7 separate regions of the Mus musculus genome follow, and all the other regions are reported to be linked to region 1. The links are microRNA targets in miRTarBase. Many come from high-throughput screens and were not tested one by one. Region 1 holds a microRNA gene; each other region holds the end of a gene's coding sequence. Distances are from middle to middle.
Evidence for each region. The annotated mature microRNA mmu-miR-10b-5p reads UACCCUGUAGAACCGAAUUUGUG and lies in region 1 at 2,534-2,556, opposite strand. An mRNA with a match to its seed (bases 2 to 7 or 8) in the 3' UTR can be bound and repressed. Matches are read on the target gene's strand: a 7mer-m8 pairs with bases 2 to 8, a 7mer-A1 pairs with bases 2 to 7 and ends in A, and an 8mer does both.

Region 1 (4,066 bases):
CAACCTGGAGTGCAAGAAGGGATAGGCCCAGGGTCCCCACTTCTATAAGGTCGTCAGGTCCGTATGGTGGTCCTTGGCCATTGGCTGCAAATGCTGGCCCGGGGCAGCTGAAGAGGAGCAGGAAGATGAGGAAGAAGACCTGCCCTTGGTGTTGGGCAGTTTGTGGTCTTTTTTCCACTTCATCCTCCGGTTCTGGAACCAGATCTTGATCTGGCGCTCAGACAGACACAGGGTGTGAGCGATTTCAATCCGACGGCGCCTGGTCAGATACCTGTTAAAATGAAATTCCTTTTCCAGTTCTAGGACTTGCTGTCTGGTGTAGGCCGTCCGGGAGCGCTTGGGCTCCCCGCCGGTGTAGTTGGGGTTCACTATGAGACAAAACATACAAGACAGCCAGGTCAGAGCCCGGCCACTAGTTAGGCCCCAGGCTTGCCTCTGCCCTCACTTCCTGGCGCGTCTCGCAGCCCTCGGGCCCCCCCTGTGCTCCAAGCTGGCCAGCTTCCTCCCTCCCGCCCTCTCCCTAAACATACACACACTCCCACCCAAGCCCTTCCATGCACACACTCCCCACGCTCACAGGTCCTCCTCAAAGGTTCTCCCTTGCCACTGGCCCACCAAGAGCTCGGTATCGCCAACATTTTGGAAAGGTCCTTGTTTTGCTCTGCGTTCCCTCTGCTGTGGAAATGGAGTCCTCCCCCCACCCCATCCCCATCCCCACCCCCTTTTGCGCCCACAGCCAAGCAGCCAGCCACATGGTCCCGGCCTGCTCCCTCAGCTATAAAAATTTATGGAGAGAGTAATTGCGGCGCCCAAGGAAGCTGCACAAGCCCCTACCCATTCGCAACCCCTGGGGTGGGGGGTGCAGGCCAAAAGATGCAAGGAGTGGTGCGGGAGGGCTGTGAGGTCGCTGCCCCCACTCCTTACCCGAATTCACGTGCACCTTCTTCATCCAAGGGTAGACCACAGCGGGCTGCTTGAGTGCTGTCCCGGGGGGCGGCTGCTTGGGGCCGGTGGGCTGGCTGCAGGCCCGAGCGCCAGGCAGGGGCGCAGGCGGGGGCGCTGGGCACCGCTCTCCCGGGGCACCGTAATGACTTCCCGGGCCGCTCGGCTCCTGTCCGTGACCCCTCGCGGGCAGCGCTGAGCCAGGCCCGGGCCCGCCGCCTCCGAAGGGTTGCTCGCCGAAGTCGGGCCGTGGGTAGAGCCCCGAGGGCTGGAAGTCGGCGCCCTGTGCACCGCTGCCGTAGTAGTCGGCTCCCTGCTCGCCTAGGTAGCCACCCTGCAAATATTCCTCGCACGGAGGAAACTTGGGGTCCACGTACTTAGAGTTCACCATATACGAACTCATGGCCATTAATTTCAGAAGGTAGAAAATACTAATTTTTCTCGTGTTGTCTTTTTTCTCCTTCCATTGGGCCCTCCTACTTGCTGTCAACTGAATAAAGTTGGGCGGCCATGTGACCAGGCCAGCCAATAGGAAGAAAGCATGTTTATCACCGGGTTGGTGAGCATCTCATAATTTTCACAAATTTAACTAAATAACATACGTGTAATCAAGTGACTTGCCATGCCACATTTGAGAGTCCCTGACAGATGCTAATAGAGTTCTAATTCTATCCCCGGGGTCCCAATTTCCGGCAGGTAATCTCGGCTTTTGTCTTCCACTGACTTTGCTAACCTCCCATGCCCTCCTTACTCACCATCGCCTGAAGCAGCCCCCAGAATGGACATAGTTCAAAGAAGAGTGAATTCTCCTACTGGGGTGCAAAATAAGGAAGAATGAGTGTGGGCAATGTGGCCTCCGAGTTGGGTAGAGTCCTAGGCAGGCAGGCAGGCTGCCCGGCCAGCTGGCAGGAGTCCTGGACTCTGACATACAAAGACCTGTCTTGGCTTTGTCTTCATCAGGGTCACCCAAAAGTTACCAGAATCTGGCGGACCTGAATTGAGTTAGGCAATGAGTAACCACTATGCTTTTCTGCCAATGCGCAGGCTGGGGTGTTTCTAGTTGAAGTTGGATCTTTCTGCAGGAGGCCCTCACAGTTCTGAGTCTGGTGGCTGAGGGGTTGGGTCATATTGGGATGGTGGGGAGGGGGACCTTAACCTTGCCTAAATGTACCCCAACGGTCTCCGATGGCCTATCTTTCAGTTTGTCTTCTTCCCACACAAGGGCAGGTGAGCCCCATTTGGGTACCTTTGTGTCTCATGCTCCTTCAGAGCAGGGCTTCTGCTGGAGCTTTCTGGCCTTTCACCTCACTCTCTAATACCCTAAAACCTGGCTCTCTGGCTTTACACTCAGACAACCACTTGAGCACCTACTGGAATATCTATAGGAGTTTCTCCAGGAAAAGGCTGTACAATTTCACCAGGCAAAGTCGATCATCCTGGAGTCTAAGGTAATGAAAAAGAAAGAGGTGGCTTGCCGGCTGGGCTGCCAGTACTCTCCGCGCCTCAGTCTCTGGCCATGTCGGAGATATATGAAGTTTTTGCATCGACCATATATTCCCCTAGAATCGAATCTGTGACTATGTGGGTACCACACAAATTCGGTTCTACAGGGTATATATAGACAACGTTACAACCTCGGGTCCTACCCAGAGCAGACATTCAGGCAGCTGCCAGACCTGATCTCTTCAGCACAGCCACCAGGAACTCACCAAGCCTGGCTTTCAGAGATGGTGCAGGTAGGCTCGGTGCATTTCTAAGTATTGCTGCTCGCTACAGCAATGAGTTCCCTCATCGGCTTGCCAGGATGGGGGCCACCAAGTAGCTGAGCAGCCAGGACCTTCTTCTTCTTAAAAAAAAAAAAAAGAAAAGAAAAGAAGGGGAGTTTTTTTTTCACCCCAGAGATGGCGGCTTAATTGCCCCTTCTCAGAACCCAAATCTCCCGCCCCCTTATCAAGTGGTATTTCCCAAAAAGAAGCAAAGGCCCTCAGCAGCAGAAAGGGAGTTTTGAAAAAGGCAAAAGGAATAGTCTTCACCAGAACCTAAGCCAAGTGAGTGGTCACAGCTAGTCCTCCTAGAATTCGAGCATTTACCTTTCTGGGCCCTCAGCCCCGCCGGACTTTCGGATCCCGCTGCTGCTGCTTCTGCTGCTGCTATGACTGCTGCTGCAGACCCGGAGGCAGGCGCTGTTTGCGGCCACCGAGCCTCCCTGGGCTGAGACTGTCGAGCTAATGGTGAAGGGCAGGGCGAGGGGTCATTCGAAATCATTTACAAACATATCACAAAGTTTCATTATTTTTGCTTTGCCGACAGCAGCACAGAAGAGTACAAAAGTTCGCGAATTTCGCCGCCCCAGCGCCTCCGCTGTCCTGGGCTTGCCCCTCAATTCAGGGCATCAAGAGCCCAGATGCACTCTGGGGCTGGGCTGATTTCAGGGGCAGAGGGATGCCCTGGCCTGGGCCGAGCTTATGGATGCCTGATAACAGATTGAAGATGTCCACATTTCTAAGTATTGTTTTGATCCCTTCCTATATAATTCGAAAAATCACTTTCAAGCCCCATGCCTTGATTTTGATGGGGTGGGGCAGGGAGACTCCCCTCATCATATCTGGCAAAATTAGGTGCTCACTTTGACCCTGTACTTTGCCCTTCCATGCCCTCCCACCATCTTTCACTTCCACTATTTTGCAGGGATTTCCCAGGTGTCAGTTCTAAAAAAAAAAAAGGGGGTTAAAATCCGTTTGTTTAAAGACTCTCCCCAGTTTCTCCTAATGCCAGCCCTTTCACCCATGGACACGTTGACAGGCCTTTCTGGGGACACTGGGCCTACCTCTGTTTTACCCAGACAAATTGGGGAAGTCCGATGGGTTGAGTGAGGACCAAGATGAGTACACACATTTTCATATTTGTTAGACATTGTGACCTGCATTTCACCTTATTGCTCGACTTGTTCAGACAGGTCAAAGCCAACAAGTTATTGATGAACAAAAGCGTTAAATATTCACCTCCCTCTCAACTGCCCATACAAATGCTTTTGATCTCTCCGGCTTTTTGTGCTGTGGGCAGCTACAAGGCGCCAGCAAGCAAGCAGCCTCAGCAGAGATGAGCCCTCACAGCCAAGGGTGCC
Region 2 (4,066 bases), not on the chromosome of region 1:
GTGTTAGGCTAACAAAGCATGCATCCCCCAGCATTAGCTCAGCATGCTCTCAGCTGCAGAGAAGGGAAGGGAAGGGAAGGGAAGGAAGGGAAGGGGTAGGCCAGTGGACTAATGAAGCGTATTCCCTCTAGCTCCGTCAAAGTAATTAAAGATCACTTGTGTTGAGGATACAGAGTGAAGAGCAGTCAGCCTTTGGTATGCCTGTCCCTGATGTGGGAGGAAGGAGCTCTCTGATGATGTCCAGGTTTGGTTTGAATTCTTCATACAGCTTCGTGGGGGTGGGCAGGCTGGATTCCAGAATGCTTTTACAGGAAGGGGTGGGAGAGGAAGCCAGCTCCAGCCTCAGTTGGACAGCTTGCAGGGAGGCCTTCTGCTCCTGTAGTTGACTTTTTCTGAGACTGTCTTCATGTTCCAAAGGTTGGCTTTGGAGCTCTGCTTCTGCTTCCTAATGGCCCCTGGTGTTTGCACATGGTATGTATGTGCACATGGTATGTATGTGCACATGGCATGTATGTGCACATGGCATGTATGTGCACATACATGCACCTGCGTGTTACTCCTCAAGAACCATCACCTTTTTTTGAGACAGGGTCTCTCACTGGTGCCTGGAACTCACCAGTTCAGCTAGACTGACTAACTAGCAGGTCTCAGTGGTCCTTCATCTTGACCTCCTCAGAACTGGGATTACAGGTGTGTGCCACTACTTTTGGCTTCTTATTTGGGTGCTTGGGGTGAGGGCTCAGGGATTTGAACTCAGGTCCTCATACTTGCATGGTAAGCACTTTAACAACTGAGCCATCTTCGTAGCCCCTTTATGTATTGTTGAGGTTATCAGACAGCTCAGGCTAGTGCTATGTATTGGGGGCTGGAGACACAATTCAGCAGTTAAAAAGTACTTGCTGTCTTTGCAGAGTACCCAGGTTTCATTCCCAGTTCCCATGTGGTGGCTCACAATTGTAACTCCAGTTCTAAGAGATTTGACGCCTGTTCTGACTTCTATGGACTCTTGCACCTGCATACATGTAGTACACACACACTTAAGTGTACCCCCCCCCCCCACATAAGATTAAAAAACCAAAGCTGGCTTTTAATCCCAGCACTTGGGAGGCAGAGGTAGGTGGATCTCTTAAATTTGAGGTCAGCCTGGTCTAAGTTTGAGTGAGTTCCAGGATAGCTAAGGTTACACAGAAAAACTGTATCAAACCAACCAAACCAAACCAAGCCACCCACTGCAGCACAGTACAGCTCACTACCAGGACTGCATTTATTATAACAGACTATGAAAGTGCAAGGCAAGAAAGAGGACTGAGGGGCAGTGTAAACAAACGTGGGGGAGGCACAGGCACTCCTGAGGAGGCTCAGACGCCCTCCTTCCCAGGGACAGCCTCCCGCAGAACACCCAGCCCTTGGAATTAAGGCAGTTAGGGTGTGAGCACCTCTGTGCCTTTATTGGTGTTATTTTTGTCTGTCCCCTAACAGCTGCCCATTTCTATCCCTCCTAGCTGGACACTACTGAGCTTTTTCCACAAGTAATGCTTTTCCACACGAGGCCACCTAGCTCGACAACTTTCCTTCCAGGGACAGTTCTAGCCAAGTACAACTACCCCAGAGAGTGTGGTTTCTTGGGCACTGCCCACCCCCAGGAGCTGCCAAATGTCCAGGCTACTCTGTTTTAACCAAACAGAAATAGAACTCCACACTTAAGTTCCACAAGCCCTTGTGGCCTCACTGAGCCCTACCACCAAGTCTTTCTCTACTCTGTACTATCTCTGTTCCCTCTGCACATGAGGACTCCACCTCTGCAGAGCCCTAGAAGCCTGGATATGGTCTGTGTTCCTTCCCTGCAGGCCATACATAAAGTGCTCAGAATGAGATCCTTGCACAGAGTTGCAGACTCCCACTGTAGAGCCCAGGCAGCATCTATGACCCAACCCAAGAACCAAGTAGATGTGCCTCTGGCTTCTGTCCCATCTTCCTTCTTGTGATGCTGCCAAGCAGTCGAGTAAAAAGCCCCTAGACATAGTATACTCTTTTCAGCCTTCCACAGCCTGAGAGCAACAACAAAACCCCCTGCTAGGCACTGGCAACAATCATGAGAACAGATTTGTGGCCAAGTAATAGGGAAAGCCTTATCTTTTGATCTTACCTTTTTTGCTACTACCTATGAAAGGACATAGCAGGCATATCATTTCTCCTAAGCCTCCAGTAATCACTGGACGGACAGTCACATGTGGTGCCCAACCCCTAACTCTGACTATTGCCGCCCCTTATGCTGGGAACCGTATCTACCCCAAGCCTCACCACACACCTGGGTAAGATAAAGCAAAGAGGCCAGGCAGTGGTGGCGCACGCCTTTAATCCCAGCACTTGGGAGGCAGGGGCAGGTGGATTTCTGAGTTCAAGGTCAGCCTGGTCTACAGAGTAAGTTCCAGGACAGCCAGGGGGCTACACAGAGAAACCCTGTCTCGAAAAACCAAAAAAAAAAAAAAAACCCCAAAGAGGAGGACCCGGGCAGAGGGGGACTGGGAAAACTAGATTCCAGGAAGAGGCTTAGTACTGAGTCTCAGGCTTGGGGCTTAGCTGTGTTCTCCCAGAGGCTTTTTTTTTTGTTTTGTTTTGTGCATCAGCCCTAGCCTTGCACAGGCTAGGCAAGTGCTCTACCAGCCTGTGAGCCCTGTGCTGGGGAGAGAAATGTGCCTTGTTAGAGGGAAGGCCTCCTTGCACTGCAGATTCATCAACTCAAGTGGGGTCCAGGAGCTGGCTTAAGTCTCCCCTTCCCATCCTGTCTAAACATTTCCATGTAGGCCAGAGTCACACAGCTACACCAGGACACCTCTCATCCATCAATACTTCTCAAAAGCTTACACAGCTAAACATAGGAAGGCACTAACTTCCCAGCAGCTCCCTCTGCTGGTAATAACAAAAACTGCAGATTCCTGCCAATCCAATTTTTACCTCAAAAAAAAAAAAAAAAGTCGGAGAAACTCTCCAATGCCAAGGAACTACAGATAAATAAACATATACAACAGAGCAGTTCTCTTGTAACAGGGGAAGGGCCAACAGAGTTACTAAGCCCATCCAGACAGCAGGGCCAGCAGAATGGTCCAAGTTCAGAGGTTCTGAAAGCCACAGGCCCACTCCATCATTAAGTTAGATTCCTTGCTGTAACCTAAGGAACAACCCACTTGGCGCTTCCCAGCTGTATTCTTTGAGATTCCTCCTGCAAGCCATAAAGTGCTGCTCTCTGCCTCTCACCATACCCCCAGCACAGCCTGAGTGAAGGAGTTCGTTCTTTCTTCTCCCTCCTCAGGAGGAGTCAGAATGTCTGTAAATGGTTTTCTTAGCAATCAGCATAAGAACCTCAGGAAGTTTCTCCTCCCTTATTAAAGTGGCTTCCTGAAACTGCCCCAGTGGGAACCTGCCGACTTCCACCTATCACCTATGACCCAGACGGGGGCCTCTGACATGAGAAGCACCAGGTGAGGGCTCCTGTAGGCCACTGGCCTCCCCAGAGGTCAATGCCTCCAGTGGTTCTAGGCTGGCGGTGATACCCAGTGCACTGAGTATCACTGTGAAGGGCCATTGGGGCCATCGGCCCATCCTGGAGGGCTATGGCTACTGGAGGGTACAGGAAGAATCCCCAAGGCAGCACCAGCAGCAAGAACACGCGGAAGAAGCAATAGGCTTAGGAGGAATGAGGTCCAGGTCCTCATCATCTGGAATCTCATCCAGGTGATATCCATCCTGCAGCAGCTGCCGGCTCACATCCTGGTTCACCTGCTAAAGGAAGAGGACAGAAGTGTAAAACAGGATGCGAGGCATACAGAGCTGCTGCCTAAAGGCAGGTCCCTGCTCTACCTAGCCCCAGGCCTCTGCACATCCTGCATTACAGAAGGACGGCCCTTTCTGTGCAGTGTCTTTCCAGCAGTGAGGAACTCCCCAGAGGCTCACTGAGAACCAGCCAGGCTTCTCTTTAAAAATCTGTCACCCAGATATCCATATCAAGATTGAAGAATATGGGGCTGTCCTCTGTGGTGGTACATGCCTTTGATCCCAGCACTTGGGA
Region 3 (4,066 bases), 57 Mb from region 1:
GCCTCCTGCCTGCTCAGCCTTCAGCACTACCCACACTGTCCTGTTGAGGGCTGAATGCTGAGTGGCCATGGCTGTTTCTGTGCTAATACTTTGAAGGCATGGGTGGGTGATGGTGGAATGTAGGGAGGCACTCACCACAAGATGCTCATCCTACACTGATGCACCCATCCTGTCCCGGGTACCTGATTAAGGACACTGTTTAGCACAGCAGTCATTTGCCCTGGACCCTGAACTAACATGCTTACAGTACCATAGGGTTGGTATCATCTAGACAGGAAGAGAATAGATTCTAAAATATATATCATGCCCACCTGAAAATAGCGGCCACTTCCTTCCATCTTCTCCACCTTTCCCACTCCATGAGGTACCGTCCATGCTAGTTCTGTGCTGCATAGGAAGGTCCCAGCAGCCACCAGGGAGAAGCACGAGCAAAGCATGAGAGCATTGTAGCCCCAGGTTTCTTGGATTCTCTGGACTGGGATGTGATGAGAGGGAGTTCCCATGGTAGAAGGGTTAGCAAGCTGAGTGGGGACGCCACACTGCACTCCATAGGCAACCCTCAGCTATTCCTGCAGCAGATCTTCTCTGACCAGGTCTGCCTGGGACCAACTAGGCTTTCCCAGAAGATTGTAAAGGAAATGAACACAGGCTTCTTCATTAGGACTGGGCAGTAACTCGCAGAGAGGTCACAGCGAGCTGACAGCACCAGGAGCACTGACCCAAGAAAGAACTGTCACCACCTCTTTCTTTATTTCCCACAGGAAGACTGCATTGCTAGATACAAGCTGCTGGTTGAACTGGTCCAAAAGAAAAAGCAGGCTAAAAGCTGAATCTTCTGGAAGGTGACGATCAATGACCATCATTTTCCAAACAAGTACTCGAGAAATCTCATGCAGAAACTTATATTTTGTACCTCAGTATTTCTAAACATCATGTGCCTTAGTAAAAAAAAGAAAGGAAGAAAGAAAGAAAGAAAAAGAGAGGGGGGGGAGAAAGAAAGAAAAAAAGAAAGAAAGAATGAATCAATTATAGATGCTGTAAGGTGCCATTTACAGGCCTTCCTTGTGTTTCCAGGGGAGAGTGTGGTGCCAAAAATATGAGGTCCTCTGTTGGCCAGCGAAGGAGGGAAAAACAGGTGCACCAGGTGGAATTTGAGATAAAGCAAATAAGTTTGATTGTCAAATGAGAAATTTAAGCCTGGAAGGTGGTTCAGTGGATAAAACCGCTGACTGCTAAGCCTGCCAGTCTGCACTCACTCTCCAGCAAGCACATGTTCACAGGAGCTGTCCTCTGACCTCTGCATTCATATTGTGGTACAGCACACACATCCGAGCCCACATAGACACATGCACATGAATACATGGATCTAAAATTTTTAAAGAATTTCTTGCTTTTGTTTGAAACTTGAAAACGCTTTGGGCTTGTTCTTCAGTTTTGTTGTGTTTTGGAGAGAATGCTTTGCTTTTGTGTATGTCTGTGTACCAGAAGACGACATTGGATCCCATAGATCTGTTGTATGGATGGCTGTAAGTCACCATGTATGTAGGTGATGGAAATTGAACTTCAGTCCAGCCCCTTGTTTGAAACTTTAGAAGGAAACTTCAAACTGCTGCCAAGCAAGAGATGTGCTCCACTGGCTACAGTGTGCTGTTTGTGGTCATGCCCAGTTCTACACAATGACACCTCAGTACCCAGTATGTTACTGTTAGCAGGTAAGGCCTCTCAGTGTGATGAGCTGTTGCCAAAACTCAATGTCTGCCCCTTCGCCTAAGGTCTCAAAGACAAACCAACAACTCCAAAGTCCATGCAGGCTAACCTTATATAGTTTATATAGGGTTACTTACAGTGGATGAGGGCTTATGGGTTGGAGCAGAGGTGACCTTAAAGCAGCCACACTGGAAGGTCTGCAGCCGGAAGGGATGGTGTCTTCCCAAGGCTTCATTGAGGGAGCCAGCTTCCCTAATCCTTCCTACCTACAGAGTCTAACACCTTCCAGAGACCCTAAAGCACATGCAATTAGAACAGAATTGCATACAGCTGGATAGTGGGGGTTGCCTGGCTACTCACATAACTGTTCCATGACTCCCTCCCCAACCCCTCCTTTCCAAGATGTGAGTCCAAGTCTGTCAAGCAGACCCAGCTGGCCTCCTGAAGGTGGTGGCAATTTGACCTATTATCATGGGCATAACCACACACAAAGTCCCTAGGAAGCCAATGGTCTTCTTCCTCTCATTGAAGAACAGGCCTGGCAAAGATGCACTCTGGCTTCAGCCTCCAACTTCCAGCAGAGCTGCTTCTGCTTTTAGCCACTATGCATGTTGTTAAAGAGTGGTTTTCTAGAGAGGCCCTGTCCCGTAAGTACCTGTGGACTGTCGTTAAGGGTGTCAGACATGGCCTCCCACTTACTACTTACTTTTCAGCTCGTTATCCGTTTCCTGAACCTCTCCTCACATCCAACTTGCTCGCATCACTGTCCACCCAAGTACTGCACCCATAGCATTTTCTGATCCTGAAAATCAGTATGAGTCCTCTTTTGATCACATTCTTTCATGGGAATAGAAGTAAATGCCCCACATTCTGGGACGGAACTCTCTCAACTAGTAGAGTACTTCCCAGCATTCATGAAGCCCTGAGAGTCTATCCCCAGCACCCTATAAACCTGGGTGTGGTGCTGCATGGCTGTCCTCCCAGAACTCAAACCGTGGGAGAATCAGGTCACCTTTAGATACAGAGTGAGTTCCAGGCCAGCCATGCTGTGGTGGTCTTCATGAGATGTCTCCCGTAAGTTGCTAGCATTTGAATACCTGGCTTTGTTCCAAAAGCCATTTCAAAGTCAGCTTTGCTGCTTGTGGCTCCTGTAGGCCACTCATCCCATGAACTGCTACTGCCACCTCCATCTAGCCACCAGGGACTCATACTCTGGAACCATAGGCCCCAGATAAACCCTTTTATAAGTTGCTTTGGTCATGGTGTTTTGTAACAGCAACAGACAAGCAACTAATACAAGGGGGAGGGGGAGCAGGAGAAGAGGGGGAGAGAGAACAAGCGGTGTATTCAAAGTTGCCACTGATTGGTACTGAGCAGAGCCACTGGGGGTCAGTATCCCTAAGGGACCCGAACTTGCTTTTCTATGCCAGAACATGTCCACGTGTTCCCCTGAATTCTTCACATCAGCCCCAATCCCCAGTCCTAACATGGGTCCTATCTTTGCTACCTCTTGTCCCTCTGTACTATGACATCTTACTTCTGTTCTGTGATCATGCTATGTGATACTGGTGCAGTGAGCCAAGCAACACATAGGGCTTCCACCTCCTAGTCTTCCCCAAACAGCCAAGACTGTTTAAAGGCCAAGTATTTAAATGCTAGAGACTTATGGGAGACAGCTCACTGAGGCCACAGCATGGCTGGTCTGGAGCTCACTCTGTAGCTAAAGATGACCAGATCCTCCTATGGTTTGAGTTCTGGGATGACAGCTATTCAGCACCACACCCAGGTTTTCACCTATCCTGGGGCCTGGGAAGGGCATGGGCAGGTGAGGGGCCCTGAAGAACAGGGTAGCTGGTTTGCTGTAGTGGAAAGGGTCTCAACCCCAACAAATCTCAAGTTCCACACTGGCTCTATCCAGGAAACTATCCCAGACAGCACTACAAAAAAAAGTCAACAGGTATTACCTGCCTCAGATAATTACTGTGCAATGCTTACATGGCCTTGTGTGACTAAACCATTGCCTCACTAATCTGTGAAACAGGGAAAACAGAGTCTGGCTATGTCAAGTCTAGAGGAAGCTTGCTCTTGTGGCAGCAACCAAGGAAAGAAAAGCAATACATGCTTGCCAGGAGTCACCATGTCTTACAGAGCAGTTTTGAGGAAATCAGATGAGTCAGGTTGTGTGGCCCAGCCCAGAAAACCCCCTTCAGGCCACTTCATGCTATTCCAAGTTTGCAGCACGAAGAAGGCTGGTGAGAAGTAACTGGATAACAAATCTCCTGGGGCCCTCGATCTAGAAAACAGCATGTCTGGCTCTGCCTCTCTTTCCCTCACTGCTGTCCCCATCAGCCAGCCCTGG
Region 4 (4,061 bases), not on the chromosome of region 1:
CAAGCTTTCTGTGGAAAAAGCCCTTGTTCTTAGGCACAGACCCAACTCCAGCCCCAGGTGGAATCTTGGATTGAACTCCAGTCTTTTCTCTTTTGTGAACACCACTTGAACCTTTGAACACTATGGCTGGGTAATCAACTTATAGTATGTGTGTTGTTCAGATTTAGGCACTGGTTTCCTTGAGTAGTAATATGTTTGTGACACTGATTTTTCTAAAAGCTGAGATATTGTTGGTTCTGTGGGTGGAAAAATATCCTGAGTTTTCACTGCTGTGATTTGCACAGTCCTTTCTGAGATAACTTTGGTTTCTCAGAGTTGGATGTTTTGCATTTTCTGATCATGGAGTTAAGTAGGCTTCTGGATCAGTGGTTACACGTGGAGTTATTGTACTGAGTGCACTGTCCTGTGTTCTTTCTACTAAATGGGATACATGGTTTCTTTCAGTCATGGTGAGCAATGGGGCATGAATGGCTACATGAAGCTTGCCAGAGGCAGGAACAACCACTGTGGAATTGCTTCATATGCCGTCTACCCCAGAGTGTAAACTGCCTGATGGTAAGAAGGAAGGGTTGGAATGGAGACAGCCTGTGAAGTGGAGGCACTTTCTGTTTACCATGACCAGCCTCTGCTGCATGGATAGAGTTCATGAGTTACTGCAGAACGTGATGTAATGTGAATTCTGTTATGTTTTTATCCAGTAAGACATGATGGATACTGTAACTTAAGCACTTCACTTATTTGTATTTGATTCCCATAACTTGATTTTGTGTTTGTTTAATGATTGTATAAAACAATATCTTTAAAGAATATTTAAGTTCAAATGAAGTGTCTGTCTTCTTTTTGTTTTGAAAGTAGTGACTTTTAAATTGTATGTAGTTCATTTCATTTAATATATGTTTTAGTTAAAATATAATTATATTAACCCATTTATTTCTTTCCTCCAACAACTTTTCCTCCCTACCTCCTCACATATTCCCCACTCTCATCTAGTCTCAAATTGATTGGTTTTTTTGTTGTTGTTGTTTTGTTTGTTTGTTTTGGTTTTGGTTTTTTTTTTTGTTTTTTGAGACAGGGTTTCTCTGTATAGCCCTGGCTGTCCTGGAACTCACTCTGTAGACCAGGCTGGCCTCAAATTCAGAAATCCACCTACCTCTGCCTCCCAAGTGCTGGGATTGAAGACATGCACCACCACCGCCAGGCTAAATTGATTGTTTCTTATTCTCTGGTGATTTTCATTATATATACGTATATGTGTATATGTATATATTTGTGAATATATAATGAAACCAGCTGAAGGCTGAATCAATTTTTGTTCCTTCTATGTTCAAGACTTTAGGACTAATCACATTGTTTAGGTAGTTGATCAGGGGTTCACCCCTGGGAGTGCTCATTCTCCTTTTAGTATTCATAACTCCTGCATGTAAGGCTCAGGGAATATTGTGGAAGATAGGGCAGAATGACTTAGAGACAAAGGATCATGAAATATACAAGGAGACTGTATGTCCAAAAAATTGTTGCTTAAACAATATATGTACAATGACAACATCAATAGCCTTATCAGCTGGGAATAAGGAACAACTTTAGAGTTCCCACTGCCAGGTAATGAGCTACAGGATATTAATTTTGTTGTCACATTAATAACTCAGTATAAAGACATACATTTGTGTTCTGTTGATGTTCTTAGAGAAAGAAGGGTGGCTCTTTTGTTATTGTCAATTTTCCATCTTTAGTAATGTGTGTGTTAAATTAGATTTTGTGTATCGACTATCACTGTGAATCCCCCTTGCCTTACTTCCATCCTGTGTAGCATCTTCATTGTGAATGTACTGAAGACATCGGCAAAACTGGATCTGCAGTTACAGATTTTTATTCAAATGACACTTTCAGAAGTTTTAGTGTCTCAGAGGCAAGAGAGCTGAAACATGCCTTTTAAATAAAACCTCCTAGAATCAATGTTCTGTTGTATTATTTTTTGTTGTTAATGTTTGAATTTAGTTATCAGATGCACTGAACTTTGTCATAGACAGATAGATAGAAAGATAGATAGATAGATAGATAGATAGATAGATAGATAGATAGATAGATAGATAGGGATATGGATATAGATATAGAGATATATAGAGAAAATTATTGCAGGCACACACACACACACATTGTGTACATTCATATATGTCTATAATGGAACACACAAATATACACATACATAGTTTAGTACTTATTTTGTACTAGAATCTAATGTAGATTTTAAAATGTATCCAGAGTATATAAGAGATGATGAGCCTAGTGTTTTCTTATTTTAGCTTTCCAGTGGTTTCATTTTAGAGACAAATGAGTGTTTCTAGTGACCTTCACTACATGGAGAATACATTAGATGAGGTCAGAAAAATGGGTCCCTCACCATATAGATTGATAACTTTTGCCAAATCGAAGTTTATGGTGGTATTGGCTTTGTTATACCAGATTACATCATAGGAATGTCTATGCCTGGAAATTTTGATAGAGAGTTTATTTAAAGCAACTATCTCAATGCCACTGCGCTCCCAGCAAGAGATACTCCTACACATGTACTAGGCATGTCTGGTAGGGGTTGACTACAACCCAAGCTCCTTTAAAATATGACTTTATTTCTTGATTAGGGAATAGAAACATGTTGGCTTATAACTGATGATTATAGACAGAGATATGATCCAGCTAAGCCTTGGTTTTTGTGATATCTGACAATTTCCTACAGACATAATTAGAACATTATATTTTGTTTCAATTTGGTGAGTCTGGTAACATGCTCTCTAGAGGCTTTTTTCTTTCTTTCTTTTTTATTAGATATTTTATTTATTTACGTTTCAAATGTTATTCCCTTTCCTAGTTTCCCCTTCGAAAATCCCCTATCCTCTCCCTTCTCCCCCCTCCTCCCTCCCCCTGCTTCAGTCATGGAACATGCTGGTTCTTGTTTAGGAATGCTCTGCTAAATATTAGTTGAGGTTTTCTACCCTATATTAGATCATTTAATTCCCAAATAAAAGAAACAAAACCTTTATATTTATATATTATATTAAGCCTTAAAAGCACTTAATAGCACTATGCTATTTTATCTACTTCCCTGTCAATAAGCCAGATACATAATTTTCTATCTTCTCTCTAGACCTCTCCTACTCGAACTGGTAGGCCCTTATGACCATGTTTTCATTATCCCCCTTCCCCAGGGTATCTTCTTCCTTCTTCCCCCTTTCTCCCTTTCTTCGTGGGGGCCTCTGCCTCATATCCCAAGCCTAAAAACTGAAGCCATGTCTACTTTTCTTCTGCTCAGTTGCAGGCTGTAGGCATTTTAATTCAACCAATAGTTTTAAATTGGGGATCAAGGTGTGCAAAACAAAAGCTGGCATACATGGGAATTCAGTCATCTTGAGGTAGCTAGACTTTAGGATACAGAATTCAGCATTACAGTACACAGCAACAAACAAAACTTCAACATAGGACTGCATATTAGAACTGTGAGAAGCTATATTGCATAGAGAGACTTTTCTATAAACATCTAGGCTAAGTAGTCTCAATAAATGTGCCTAGTATTGTGGGCTAATGTGCAAGAATCATTACAATATGTAATAATGACAGGAAAGGCATATCAACAATAAGAATCAATCCTGAGTTGAGATCTCTAAAGGCCCTTCAATTCAGAGTTTACCCATACTAGCCATGCAAATACAATGGTTATTCTCCAGAAAAAGCATCTACAAACCTTTTATCTATCCTTGATGTGTCCTAACCAAACTGCTCCTTTTTCTGGGCATTGAAGTCAATAATATGGAAAGATTCATGATCATGCATCGTAAAGATGTCATCATCAATTATTCTAATTATTTAGCTTACAGAATTTAGAGTGCCATAGTGGAAGCCTCTATTTCTGAGATTATTCCTATTGTATGTGGCCTTTCTGTTCAGAATGAAAACATGACCCTGGCTTAGATTGCATTTCTACTGGACAGCATTCACTGGGACGGCTCTTAAGATAGCCATTCATTTCCCAGGTATTAGCTCTTTTCAATTCTCTCCTCTTTTTCCCTTCT
Region 5 (4,064 bases), 80 Mb from region 1:
TCATCTTTGGAAATGGGTGTCAACATGAGGCAGAAGCAGGTAGTCAGCATTTTGGCTTTAAAGGAATATACTTGAGTGGCCAGGGTCTGCTAAGCAGCTGCTGGATCAAGGATCTTCCACAGCTGGCCATCTGGTCCACAATGGCCAGTTCAGTTCCTTCTGGCTTTTCTCACATTTGGTTCAAACATGCCACCACCCAGTTCTCTGCAAATAGCTAACATTCATCAAAGTACACTGGCTTAGTCTCCTGAGCCAGGAGCCTGGAAACCTTGGTTCCAGTCCAGTTCTGAAGTAAGCCTCCAAGACGTGTCCTATTTGTAAAGGTTTATTCAACCCACAATCCTGTCTGCAGTTTTCAGAACGAAGGCCATCTGCTCACTCCTTATGCTCTAGGGAGAACCACTAACACACACTTGCAGTTGTGTTGAGGCCTCACACACCTGCTGAGATAGTTTCCAGAACCACTCAGAAAAAAATGTCTTCACTCTCTCTGAGAAGGTGACAAGAAATGACGGTAAAGCTGACATCAAGATTTGAAGCACTCCCTGGGGATCAAATGGGTAAAGGAGTCTACATTACAGAAGACTGACAGCCAATGCCTGGATAGACCTCGGGGGGCCAGACAGGTTATTCCATGGAGACCCATGGCTGCACATAACTTAGCACCTTAGGAGAAAGCCACTCACAGCCTGCGCCCTCACCTCCACCTCCCTGCATGAGCCAATCTGAAGCTGCAGGGCCCTTCAATGAGTCTCTGTGGGATAAGTCTCCTGTAACTCAGGCTTGCTATGCAGCTATGGATAACCTTAAACTTCTGGTCCTCCTGCTTCTACCTCCTAAGTGTTAGAGGATTACAGGTATGTGCCACCATGGCTGGTGTATGCCACACTGGGAATGAAGTCCATGCTACCAAATAAGCCATGTCCCAAGCTAGCTTCAACAAGTCTTCATTTGCTGGAGCGAGGACTGGTGTGCAGAACTCCCAGTTTGGCTACTTTTGTTATTTACTTCCTGAAATTTTATCCCTCACTTGGTACAGAATGACCAAGCCCTGACTACTTTTCTTCCTCAAATAGTTACTGCAGAGGCCAGACTTGTGAGCAGCCTGAAGCTCTATGTTCACTCCCAGCCTGGTGGCTCATATAAGCAGACTTAGAAACAAAGCGGTGAGCCAGGAATCACTTGTAGCTCCAGCTCCTACTGCTGCTGCTCCTGCCTAGGGAGGAGTTGGAGAACTGCAGAAAGGAACTCCTTAAATCTGAAAAGTCCTAAACAGATGTCACGTAAGAGTGATGCTGAAGCCGGGCCATGGTAGTGCATGCCTTTAATCTCAGCACTTGGGAGGCAGAGGCAGGCGGATTTCTGAGTTCAAGGCCAGTCCGGTCTACAGAGTGAGTTCCAGGACAGCCAGGGCTACACGGAGAAACCCTGTCTCGAAAAACCAAACCAAACCAAACCAAACCAAACCAAACCAAACCAAAAACAAAACCCCGAGAGTGATGCTGACCAGAGGCAAGATAGAGACAAGTCTGAGAACTGAACTATATAGTGTAAAGTACTGTCCGAGTGTGTAGACAAACCTGGGTAGGACACAGAAGCAAAGCAGTCCCCAACAGCACTATAGAAACTCAGAATCGGACAGGCCAATCACACAGCCCACAAAGGTAGGCTAGATTTTGTAACCCAGTTTGCTGTACAAACTGATCTCCAACCAGGTAAGTAGTAATGTATTGGTTCTAGCTCTTTATTCCAACTATCTGGAGTAGTTCTGTGGCAAAAAAATTTAACACTTAAAGGGTGTTCATCCATTTTACTACTGAGTAACTGACCAGGGCACACCAGGAGACATTCTCATGTTCACAGAAGCTCCTGATCTGCCCGAAGTTTTGTGTCTGAGTATGGACAAGTGCTGTCTGGTACTAACTCTATCTAGTAAGTCAAAGTTGTCCCCACTAGACTGATGGGATGGGACCAGGGAGGCCAGGCTGTACTAAGCTGTCTGGCAAACAGTGGGTCTTGGGTATTCTATGCTAAAATAACATGATTTTAAAGGTCTACTTTCTAAGTCTGAGAACCCTTGTTCCAATGAGATAGGAACTCAGTATTTTTAAATCAGCCTTAACTGTGTGCAAAGACACTAAATCCATACTTTTATGGGGCAAGTGTTAGTATTCAGACTTGTTCTTCAGACTTGTTCATTGTACAAAAAGTGACCACAGCTTCCAAAAGCCAACAGGATCAAAGGCAATGACTTATCCCAATTGACTGCACAGGGCAAAACGATTCTGGAGTATACTGAGTGGCCGATGCAAGGTGCTGACAACTAATAAACTTTAGATGGCAAGGAAAAGATGTGAGCAGTACTTGGCCTGATCAATAGGTCCAATAATGACCAGATCGATGTCTCCAAATTCTATTTGGAGAATCAGATAATTGGAAAAGTTCCTGAAGATGGGAAAAAAAAAAAAAAAAAAAAAAAACAGGTCAGGCTCTTCAAAAACGGTTCCCATTCTTCACAAACTCTGAGCTGTGAGGGAGACTATAAACACGGAGCACAGAAAAAGGATGCCTCAAATGTCCACCTGATAATAAACCTATGAGGTGGTGTCAAAACCAGGTGCGAATAATCCCATCAGGGTTAGGAGCACTGCTTAGGTGCCAAACAGAACCTACTCACAAGACATCCCCAAGGATCCAGACATGCAGTCCCAGAGAGAAGGACACATACAACAAGGCGACTGTTTTAAACAGTCAAGCAGTGGCAGAGGCTCTGCATTTCCAAGGTGATCCACGGAATATTTTAGTTTGGCCAACATGCTTAGAGAAAAGACTAGCACAATGGCTCCATCCTCTCTCAGACCGATCCATGCGATGGAGATTATTTTTTACACAAGCAAAATCAAGAAAAACACTGGAGTTAAGAGGTGGGTTCCAAACTAACGAAGACAGCCAAGTTAGAAAATCTTGTCCAAAATGATCCATGATGCTTGGGAAGACTAATTTAATTTTTTATCATTACTAGAGATTTTACTGAAACAGTGACTTCTTTCTTGCATTTCTGAGCATCTTAACAGCTCTGAGCAGCTCAGGAGAGAGTCCTGAGTACTGCTTTTGTGCTATCCAAGTCTCTTTTAGGCCAATCAGTGTCACTCGAGGGTGGATATGGGGCTCAAGGAACTGTTTGAAGACAGGGGAAGGAAGGGCCTCCTCCTAAGCCTGCTACCAGTCTTCAGGCCTCTACTGTGGACAGTGTGGGACACTATTGACAATATGCTAATGCAAGGAGTCGGAGGGAGCTGGTGTATACACTGAGAAGGGGCTGGTTATGCCAGCTTTAGCTGGAAGAGGAACCTCAGGAAAGCCATGGAGGAGGCAGCTCAAGCTACTTCCTGTGTGCAGAGAATGATACATTAGTTCTTCCAAGGACACGTGGCAAATCCCAGAGAAGCTGTGGAGTGCCTCTTGGATGCTTCCTGCCAACTTCACTTCTTGCTGACGACCCAACAGCTACTTGTTCTAATAGCCAGCTCACTGGTGCAAGCATGCTCCCATGTGGAGGGGTCATCAGGACAGGTGGAGTCTGTAGCTTAGAGCCCGTTGGCATCAATGGCTGTCACAGAGGCAGGTGTTGAGGACCGTGAGGTGGTAGCTGAGGTCTTGTCCAGGGCTGGGCTGGGCACACTGCAGTCAGCAGACCTGGCTGAGCCCCGCCCTCCAGGGAGCAGTGGCCTGCTCTGGCTGTGGGGACTGTGGCCATGTAGACTCTGGCCACAGAGGCGGTGGTGCCGCTCCCAGTCCTTATGCTGGCAGAAGGAGCCGCAGTAGCGAGCAATGTTGCAGCCACTGCACGTCTCACTGGCTTTTCGGCCACAGTTCCAGCAGTTCTGCAAGACACAGGCGTCAGTTAGTGGCTGCTGACATCTTGATGGGCAGGCTCGCCACTGTCACTTGTCATCTGCATGGTACAGCAAGGACTGTGGCGCTACAGACCTGTGGGTAAGTCTCTGAGGATGCCCTTTAACTCTTGATCCTCCTGCTCTCCCTCCCAAATGCCAGGGTCATGG
Region 6 (4,066 bases), not on the chromosome of region 1:
CATGGCTTCCCTTCTATGGACATGTTCCCAGCCTGATTGTGGTCCACGTTAGGCCCACTCAAAGGTGCAGAAAGAGATGACAATGAGTGCAGGGTGAGGGGAAGCCTCCCCTGAGTCCCGGGGCCTTCTTATGCCCCCATGGGACCATCACCCCAGCAATGACCTGGCCTTTGAGTGCCCCCTTGTTTTCTTGCAGGCTTTCAAGACTCTTCAGATTGCTGCCTGTCCTATAACTCACGGATTCAGTGTTCAAGATTTATAGGTTATTTTCCCACCAGTGGTGGGTGTACCAGGCCGGGCATCATGTAAGTGTCAAATTCACTCATTGTGTGTTATGGGGAGGGGGAGCCTCCAGGATCTTAGATGGCCTGGTGGATAGACTTCCAGAGAAGACCCATTCTTGGATCTCACCAGGTGGGAGGGGGGATACTTCAGGGTGTAGAGAAGGAAACAGCTAGCAGAGTCACTCCATGAGTCCTTAGAGACCCTCACAGGTCTAGAGGGGGCCCCAGAGAGGGGATGATGGTGCTGAGCTACCTCCTGGAAAGAACAGACTGTTGAGTGGAAAATCAGAAGGTTCAGAGGATGGGGCTCCCACCACCCCTTTACTAGATTAACTCTGATTATAATCTTTCTTCTCCTTTTTCTTCAGCTTTATCAGCAAGAGGGGGTTCCAGGTCTGTGCCAACCCCAGTGATCGGAGAGTTCAGAGATGCATTGAAAGATTGGAGCAAAACTCACAACCACGGACCTACAAACAATAACATTTGCTTGAAGAGAAGGGTGTGAACTGCCAGCTACTTTCTTTGGTCTTCCCCAGTGACCACCTAAGTGGCTCTAAGTGTTTATTTTTATAGGTATATAAACATTTTTTTTTTCTGTTCCACTTTAAAGTGGCATATCTGGCTTTGTCACAGAGGGGAAACTTGTCTGTGCCAACCCCAGTCATCTGAAAACTCAGATGCCTGGAAGGTCTGAAGCTGACCTCAATGACTACACATAATATTTGATTGAGATAAATGGGCAAGGTCTGGAGAGATGGCTTGGTGGTTAAGAGCACCTGCTGCTCTTCCAGAGGACCTGGGTTCAATTCCCACTTAGATGGCAGCTCAAACTATCTATAATTCCAATTCCAAAGAAAACTGATGCCCTATTTTGCCCTTTAGTTAGTAGTATTTACAGTATTCTTTATAAATTCACCTTGACATGACCATCTTGAGCTACAGCCATCCTAACTGCCTCAGAATCACTCAAGTTCTTCCACTCGGTTTCCCAGCGGATTTTAAGTGGATAAACTGTGAGAGTGGTCTGTGGGACTTTGGAATGTGTCTGGTTCTGATAGTCACTTATGGCAACCCAGGTACATTCAACTAGGATGAAATAAATTCTGCCTTAGCCCAGTAGTATGTCTGTGTTTGTAAGGACCCAGCTGATTTTCCCACCACCCCTCCATCAGTAAGCCACTAATAAAGTGCATCTATGCAGCCACAGGTCTGTCTGCCTCTTTTGCTTCAGTTTCCTAGGACTATGGGCTGAAATTGGGCTGTTAGGGAGAAAGCATCTCACTCGCTTTTATTGAATCTGCAGTGGAAAAGAAACAGAGGGAGTCAGGTAACTTTGAATATTTTCTTCAAAACAAAAGATATCATGGTACAATTTTTTTTTAATTTTTTGTTTGTTTGTTTTTGTTTTTCGAGACAGGGTTTCTCTGTGTAGCCCTGGCTGTCCTGGAACTCACTCTGTAGACCAGGTTGGCCTCCAACTCAGAAATCCGCCTGCCTCTGCCTCCCGAGTGCTGGGATTAAAGGCGTGCGCCACCACCACCCGGCCCATGGTACAATTTTTAAATTTCCAGAAATATAGTTTATTCCAATGTAGACTTCATATCAAGGATGTATTTTACCCACTATAGAGAGAATCATTAAAGTGATCTACAAATCTTTGGAAGTTCTCCCTGTTCGATAAGATCCTCAATTCTATTCGAGGATCTCAACTTGGTCAGCTTGTTTTTATACCAGTCTCATGCTGTTTTTTTACTGTGGCTCTGTATGATAATCCCTTCAGCAGTGTCTCTATTGTTCAGGGGTGTTTGGGTTACCTAAGATCTTTTGTGTTTCCATATGAATTTTAAGATTGTTATTTTCAAAATCTGTGAAGAATTGCATTGGAATTTTGATGGGAATTGCAATGAATCTATAAATTTTTTTTGATAAGCTGACCATTGTCAAAATATTAAACTAGACCATGAGCATAGGTGGTCTTTCCATCTTCTGGGTCTTCTTTGATTGTTTTAGAGTTTTCATTGTATAGGCCTTTTGCTTTATTCATTAGGTTTATTCCAAGATATTATTTTGCAGGTATTGAGAGTGGGATTTTCCTCCCAATTTCTTCCTCAGTATGTTTGTCATTTGCTTATAGGAAGACTATTGGTTTTTTTGTATGTGCAGATCGTGTCCTGACACTTGGCTGAAAGTGTTTATCAGCTCTACGAGTTTTCTAGTGTAGCATTTAGGGCCTTTTATAGAGAGAGAAAGAATGATATCATCTGCCAATGAATATTGCTTGACTTCTTCCTTTCCTGTTTGAATCCATCTTGTCTCCTTCTCTTGCCTTACTGCTGTAGCAAAAACTTCAAGTACTCAGCTGAAAAGAAGTACTGAGAGAAAGTATCCATGTCCCTTTCCTGATTTTTAGCAGAAATGCTTCCAGTTTTTCTCCGGTTAGCATTCCGTTGGCTACAGGCTTGTTGTATATTTCCTTTATTGTATTGAAATACGTTCCTTGTATTTCTGTTGTCTTCAGGGCTTTAATAATGAAGAGCTGTTGGTTTTCACCACAGGCATTTTCTGAATCTACTTTCTGCTTTCTTGAATTGAGTCCATTTATACAGTGGATCTCATTTACTGATTTATGTATGTTGAACATCCCTGCAAGTCTGGAATGAAGCTCTTTATGATTTCAGAAAACAGATTTTTCTTAGTCCTCATTTGTAACCTCTCCCCCTAGCCTGAAACCTGGCTGCTCAGGTTTCACTGTTAGCAGGAAGAGAGCGTGGGGTGGACCTACCGCCCTATCGTTCTGCCACTCCCACTGCGGCTGCCTGCCACCTAGCTGTTCCTGAGCCAACACGTGGTCACCTGCAACTGGACTCCTAGGATGATTTGGCGGGAATGGGCCCCTCCCCCTTTTTATAACCCAGTGTCTGGAATAGTAAAATTGAACCTTGGTCAGACGGTTGTCTTGGTTCCATCTTTCTCGAGCCGCCTAGCTCCCTCTTCTCTTCCAGATTCCAAGATGCCTTCCAGACTAGAACCCAGACATGTGGGCCACTGGCCAACCACAACAGATTTGGGGAACCAACTCGGGACTTTTGCTTAAATCACACTGTTGTAGTTTGATGCCCACTTGATCCCTCAAAAAAATCTCATATGGATGTTGGTTTCCCCACAATTTTTTCTACTAGCCAACAGAGAATCCTGGGGTTTGTTTTAGTATTATTCCATGTTTCCAGTCATACCATTGGCTTCACGGTAACTACTTCATTCTAGGGAAAGTTCTTCCAAGACCTCCTAACTTTCTATTCAAGTCAGAGGAATTATGGTGGACCTGCCCGTCATGCTGGAACGCCTCCGCATTACATGCCAGCGTTCATTCCCCCACGATAGGCAGCCCACAGCTTCCCTCTTTCTTTAGCTTGTATTTTGTTTGGCTAGAGTATACTCTTGAACTTCCTCTTTCTGCACAAGATGACAAAGGCAAACTCTCTCCCTCACCCCTGTGGGACGCAGGCCAGGGACATTCAATTCCCTGTCTGACCATGTTCCTACTCCCTTCTGGAGCTTCAAACCCAGTACTAGGGTTACAGGCAAGTAAAAGAAAGGGTTTACTCTGTGACACTGATGGTGACACTAGCTTCCCGACCAGGCAGATCACAACCCTGGGACCAGCACCACCAATTCCACGGCTCAGTTGCAGGATTATAAGAGACATAAGCACTTCTGTTTTATTTTGCTAAAAACACATTTGTGCTTTCTTCCAATTTCTTTAACATCAACTAAGAGACTAT
Region 7 (4,066 bases), not on the chromosome of region 1:
TGATGGAGCAGGAGGGTTTCTGTGGTATGGGATGGGGATTTGGGGACACCATGCTCTGCTTATCCCCCATGGGACTCTACGTGTTTCAGGGCTGTGAGGACATTGTGAGGGTGATATCCATGGACCGTGATTATCACTTTGAGTGCTACCACTGTGAGGTAAGTGTTGGGGTTCGGGGATGATGTGGGGAAATCGGAATTTGGAAGGGGGATTCTTGGAATGACTGGGCATCTGTGGGAGGGATTTAGGATACAGAAAACCAGGACACTGCAGTGACCTATGTCCAGTCTCTCTTGTCCTCTAGCTTTTCTTTCTAATCCTAGTTCTTTTTAAATCTGGAATCTGGCTTCCCCAGCCTCTGAACTGCTGGAATGGGGCTTGTCTCATGATTTCTGCTGCTGCAGCGACCCCTGGTGTCCAGAAGAAGTATTTCTCGGGTTTTCACTTCAAGTCCACCCTTTCACCCTTCACCCTCCCTGGGGCCTTACCACTCACTTGTCCAGTCACCCGGAGTCTCCCAGGATGGCCTCAGGGTAGGGAGCCTGGGTGGAAGTGAACCAGTTGCCTTCTTCCCTAGGACTGCCGCATGCAGCTGAGTGACGAGGAAGGTTGCTGCTGTTTCCCTCTTGATGGACATTTGCTCTGCCACGGCTGTCACATGCAGCGCCTCAGTGCCCGGCAGCCCTCTACCAACTATATCTGAGCTGACGTTACTGCTGCCACCACCACTGTGGAGAAACTCTCTGGCCAGCGGAGGCAAGGAGTGTATTCTGCAATCCTTGTGAAGAGGTCTCTGGGGAGGCCCCGAAGGCCAGAGACCCAAAGATCCTAACATTCCAAATGGGCTGCGGAGGAGGAACCTTCTGGTTGCCGGGAGAGTTGACTGGTGTTCATTGCGTGCAGCCTGTGCTACAGTAGATGGGATGTAGCACACGCAGGCGGGTTTCAGTACTTCCTGAACGCCAGATTATAATGTATTTTTCCAGTGTATGTTTCTATATACGTCACACAATGTTCTGGTGCTGGATCACATGAGGGCATCACAGAAACCACCCCCAGTCTGTTGTACCCTATGCATGGAGTCAGTGGAACCTTTCCCACGGGATCCTATCTTTGTCTGCGCTAAGGGCTGGAAGCCCTGGACTTTGTGATGAGCCATTTCTTGGCTCTCTCCCTAAGGACTAGAGAGCTCCCCGTGTCTGTCTGCTGGGACTGGGACCAGCTCTGGGGGACCTTGCTGCCTGTGTTGCCTGTTTCTCAGGGACCTGGGGAGGCTAACTGGGGCCTGTCCCTGGTTGCTGTTTTGCTCTTCTGGGGGAAGAAATGAGCAGGTTTCTGGATGTGAAACTTGCCGGTGAGTAGGATGTCCCTGAAGCATCAGGCTAGCCCCACTCCCCCTGTTTAAGTGCACTGAGCCTGTAGCCCAGCATATGTGGATACATTGTAGCCACGTGTGCCTGTGCACCTCCCTCCCTACTCCTCTTTTCTCAGGTGACTTACGCTTAGTTCCCTAGCAGTAGCCTATCTTTTGAGACCCCTTTTTAAAAGGGATCCTGCATTGGATCTGACCTGTTACAACCCCACCACTCAAGGCATTGGGGAAGCTGGAGAGAAGAAAAATAGGTTGACTTGGTTCTAGCCGCTTGGCTGAAACTTGAATTCCCCTTAAGCAGGATGTCTTAAAGCCAGGTCACTTGCTGGCTGGAACTCAAGTTCATTTGATGACCAGGTTGCCAAGAGTCCTGTCCCCTACTGAGTGTTCTTATAGCTGCCTACATGTTTTGTTCTTTTCATTGCACTGAGCATTCAGTGATTCCTGCCTGTTCATCAAGAGTATGTCAGAGGTTTGTTTGGTTTTTGGTTTTTCGAGACAGGGTTTCTCTGTATAGCTCTGGCTGTCCTGGAACTCACTCTGTAGACCAGGCTGGCCTTGAACTCAGAAATCCGCCTGCCTCTGCCTCCCAAGCGTGGGATTAAAGGCGTGCGCCACCACGCCTGGCTTACTTCAGAGTTATTAGCAACCTACATTTATCAACTTTGTGGCACTTTGTGATACAAATGTTCCCTGCCTCCTTGGGTGTCTTCCTACTATGCCATTATTTCTCTGACACTTAAGAAAGAAAAAGTTGAAATTCTAGCAGTAAATACAGTTGATGCAGACACTTTGTGAGTGTATTGTGGTTCTTCTTTGCTGTTCACTATGGCTTCAATCCTTGAAGCCTTATGCCTTGAAGATGTAAAGGGGCTCTATGGATTCGCCTTGGTCTGGCTTCTCCATTCACATTGTTAAAATGTGATTGTGTCATAAACAAGTGAGTCTGGAAATGACTGACCTGAGGACAGAAGACCCACCCTTGAGGGTTATTCTAAAACTGTGCCAGCCATTCTGGGAATTACATGGGCAGGGTCTCTTGAGTGCAGAAGCACACCTTTGATCCCAGCACTCAAGAGGCAGAGACAGGAGAACTTCTGTGGGTTCAAGGCCAGCCTGGCCTACAGAATGAGCTCCAGAACAACCCAGGCTACACAGAGAAACCCTGTCTCAAAAACCCAAATCAACAGCAACAACCCCCAAAGCAGAAAACAAACAAACAGAAAACAAAGGAAAAGAAAAGAAGCTGGGCAGTGGTGGCACACACCTTTAAGCCCAGCACTTGGGAGACAGAGGCAAGTGGGTCTCTGGATTAGAAGCTAGCCTGTTCTACTAGCAAATTATGTGGCAGCCTGAGCTACAAAACAAACCAAGCCAGCAAGCAAGGAAGCAGAAGGATCAAAGGCAGATGATGGGGAGAATAAACATTGATCAAACATTTTGTTTAAAACTCAAAAAGTGGTTTGAGAATATTTTTAAAAAAATTTTTTTTTTTTAAATTTTGTGAATGTTTTGCCTTTAAGTGCATCATGTGCCCATGGAGCTCTCTGAACAAGAGGTTCTCAGATCATCTGGTACTGGAGCTACAGACTCCTTCCTGTGAGCTGCCATAGATGCTGAGAATGCAACCTGGGTCCCCTGAAAACTCAACTAGTGCTCTTCGCTGCTGAGCCATCTTTCTAGCCCTTGTTTTAAATCAATCTCTCTCTTTCTGTGTTTGTGTGTGTATGTGTGTCAGTGTCATGTGTATGCATAGTTGTCCAAGTAGACTAAAGGAGGCTATCTGTCAGGCCCTCCGTCCAGGAGCTGGAGTTACGTGCAGTGGGAGGTAACCTTGTGTGAGTGCTAGGAGCTGAACTCATCCTCTGCAGAAGTAGTGAGAATTCTAACCTACTGAGCCATCTCTCCAGTACCATCAAGCATTTGATTTATTAATTATTTATTTTATATGAGTGCTGTGTCTTCACACATACCAAAAGAGAGAATCAGGTGGTTGTGAGCCACCATGTGGGTACTGGGAATTGAACTCAGGACCTCTGGAAGACCAGTCAGTGTTCTTAACCTCGAGCCCCTTATTTTTTTATTTTTATTTTTGGTTTTTCAAGACATTTTCTTTGTGTAGCCTGGCTGTCCTAGAACTTGTTCTGTAGACCAGGCTGGCCTCAAACTCACAGAGATCTGCTTGCCTCTGCCTCCTGAGTGCTGGGACTAAAGGAGGGTGCCACCACCACCCATTGCCAGGTAGTTTGGTTTTGTTTGGTTTGGTTTCTTTTGTTTGTTTGTTTTTTTGTCATCCCCCCCCCCCCCCCCAAGACAGAGTTTCTCTGTATCACCCTGGCTGTCCTGGAACTCACTCTGTAGACCAGGCTGGCCTCGAACTCAAAAATCCACCTGCCTCTGCCTTCCAAGTGCTGGGATTAAAGGTGTGCGCCACCACACCCGGCTTGCCTGGTTCTATTTTAAATTTTCTTTTTACAATTATTTATTTATGGGGCAGGGGAATTTACCTACCGCCACCTGCATCTAGAGGTCAGAGGTATACCCTCTTGAATTCTGGTCAAATGCCTTTACCCATGGAGCCATTTTGCTGGCCCAGCAAATTCTTTTTTTTTTTTTTTTCCTTTTTCCGGAGCTGAGGACCGAACCCAGGGCCTTGGGCTTGCTAGGCAAGCGCTCTACCACTGAGCTAAATCC

Region 2: the mRNA of Fam219b is a reported target of mmu-miR-10b-5p. Seed matches in the 3' UTR shown: 7mer-m8 at 2,458-2,464.
Region 3: miRTarBase lists Dnajc1 as a target of mmu-miR-10b-5p. Seed matches in the 3' UTR shown: 8mer at 3,550-3,557.
Region 4: miRTarBase lists Cts8 as a target of mmu-miR-10b-5p. Seed matches in the 3' UTR shown: 7mer-m8 at 1,069-1,075.
Region 5: miRTarBase lists Cbfa2t2 as a target of mmu-miR-10b-5p. Seed matches in the 3' UTR shown: 7mer-m8 at 1,426-1,432.
Region 6: the mRNA of Ccl9 is a reported target of mmu-miR-10b-5p. Seed matches in the 3' UTR shown: 7mer-m8 at 1,698-1,704.
Region 7: the mRNA of Ajuba is a reported target of mmu-miR-10b-5p. Seed matches in the 3' UTR shown: 7mer-m8 at 1,871-1,877.

Annotation. Positions count from the first base shown.
Region 1 is chr2:74,724,564-74,728,629 of GRCm38, reverse strand. It overlaps Mir10b (microRNA 10b), which reads right to left and starts at 2,560; the gene lies at 2,493-2,560. All of the region lies in intron 1 of Hoxd3 (homeobox D3), which reads right to left. Hoxd4 (homeobox D4) reads right to left here. Exons shown (of 6, transcript NM_010469.2): 4 at 2,652-3,167; 5 at 925-1,754; 6 at 1-368. The coding sequence starts at 1,351. The coding sequence ends at 43.
Region 2 is chr9:57,540,369-57,544,434 of GRCm38, reverse strand. It overlaps Fam219b (family with sequence similarity 219, member B), which reads right to left. Exons shown (of 5, transcript NM_001166364.1): 5 at 1,248-3,780. The coding sequence ends at 3,616. It overlaps Mpi (mannose phosphate isomerase), which reads left to right. Exons shown (of 8, transcript NM_025837.2): 8 at 1-167. Among named protein-coding and RNA genes, the nearest start is that of Fam219b, 4.9 kb to the right of the region's middle.
Region 3 is chr2:18,214,021-18,218,086 of GRCm38, reverse strand. Dnajc1 (DnaJ heat shock protein family (Hsp40) member C1) reads left to right here. Exons shown (of 12, transcript NM_007869.3): 12 at 762-4,066. The coding sequence ends at 830. Among named protein-coding and RNA genes, the nearest start is that of Gm39761, 19 kb to the right of the region's middle.
Region 4 is chr13:61,244,637-61,248,697 of GRCm38, reverse strand. It overlaps Cts8 (cathepsin 8), which reads left to right. Exons shown (of 8, transcript NM_019541.3): 8 at 445-1,951. The coding sequence ends at 544. Among named protein-coding and RNA genes, the nearest start is that of Cts8, 8.7 kb to the left of the region's middle.
Region 5 is chr2:154,534,704-154,538,767 of GRCm38, reverse strand. It overlaps Cbfa2t2 (CBFA2/RUNX1 translocation partner 2), which reads right to left. Exons shown (of 11, transcript NM_172860.2): 11 at 1-3,884. The coding sequence ends at 3,588. Among named protein-coding and RNA genes, the nearest start is that of 1700003F12Rik, 12 kb to the left of the region's middle.
Region 6 is chr11:83,572,082-83,576,147 of GRCm38, reverse strand. It overlaps Ccl9 (chemokine (C-C motif) ligand 9), which reads left to right. Exons shown (of 4, transcript NM_011338.2): 3 at 197-305; 4 at 653-3,231. The coding sequence ends at 764. Among named protein-coding and RNA genes, the nearest start is that of Ccl9, 4.5 kb to the left of the region's middle.
Region 7 is chr14:54,565,568-54,569,633 of GRCm38, reverse strand. It overlaps Ajuba (ajuba LIM protein), which reads left to right. Exons shown (of 8, transcript NM_010590.5): 7 at 90-158; 8 at 578-2,165. The coding sequence ends at 703. Among named protein-coding and RNA genes, the nearest start is that of Ajuba, 10 kb to the left of the region's middle.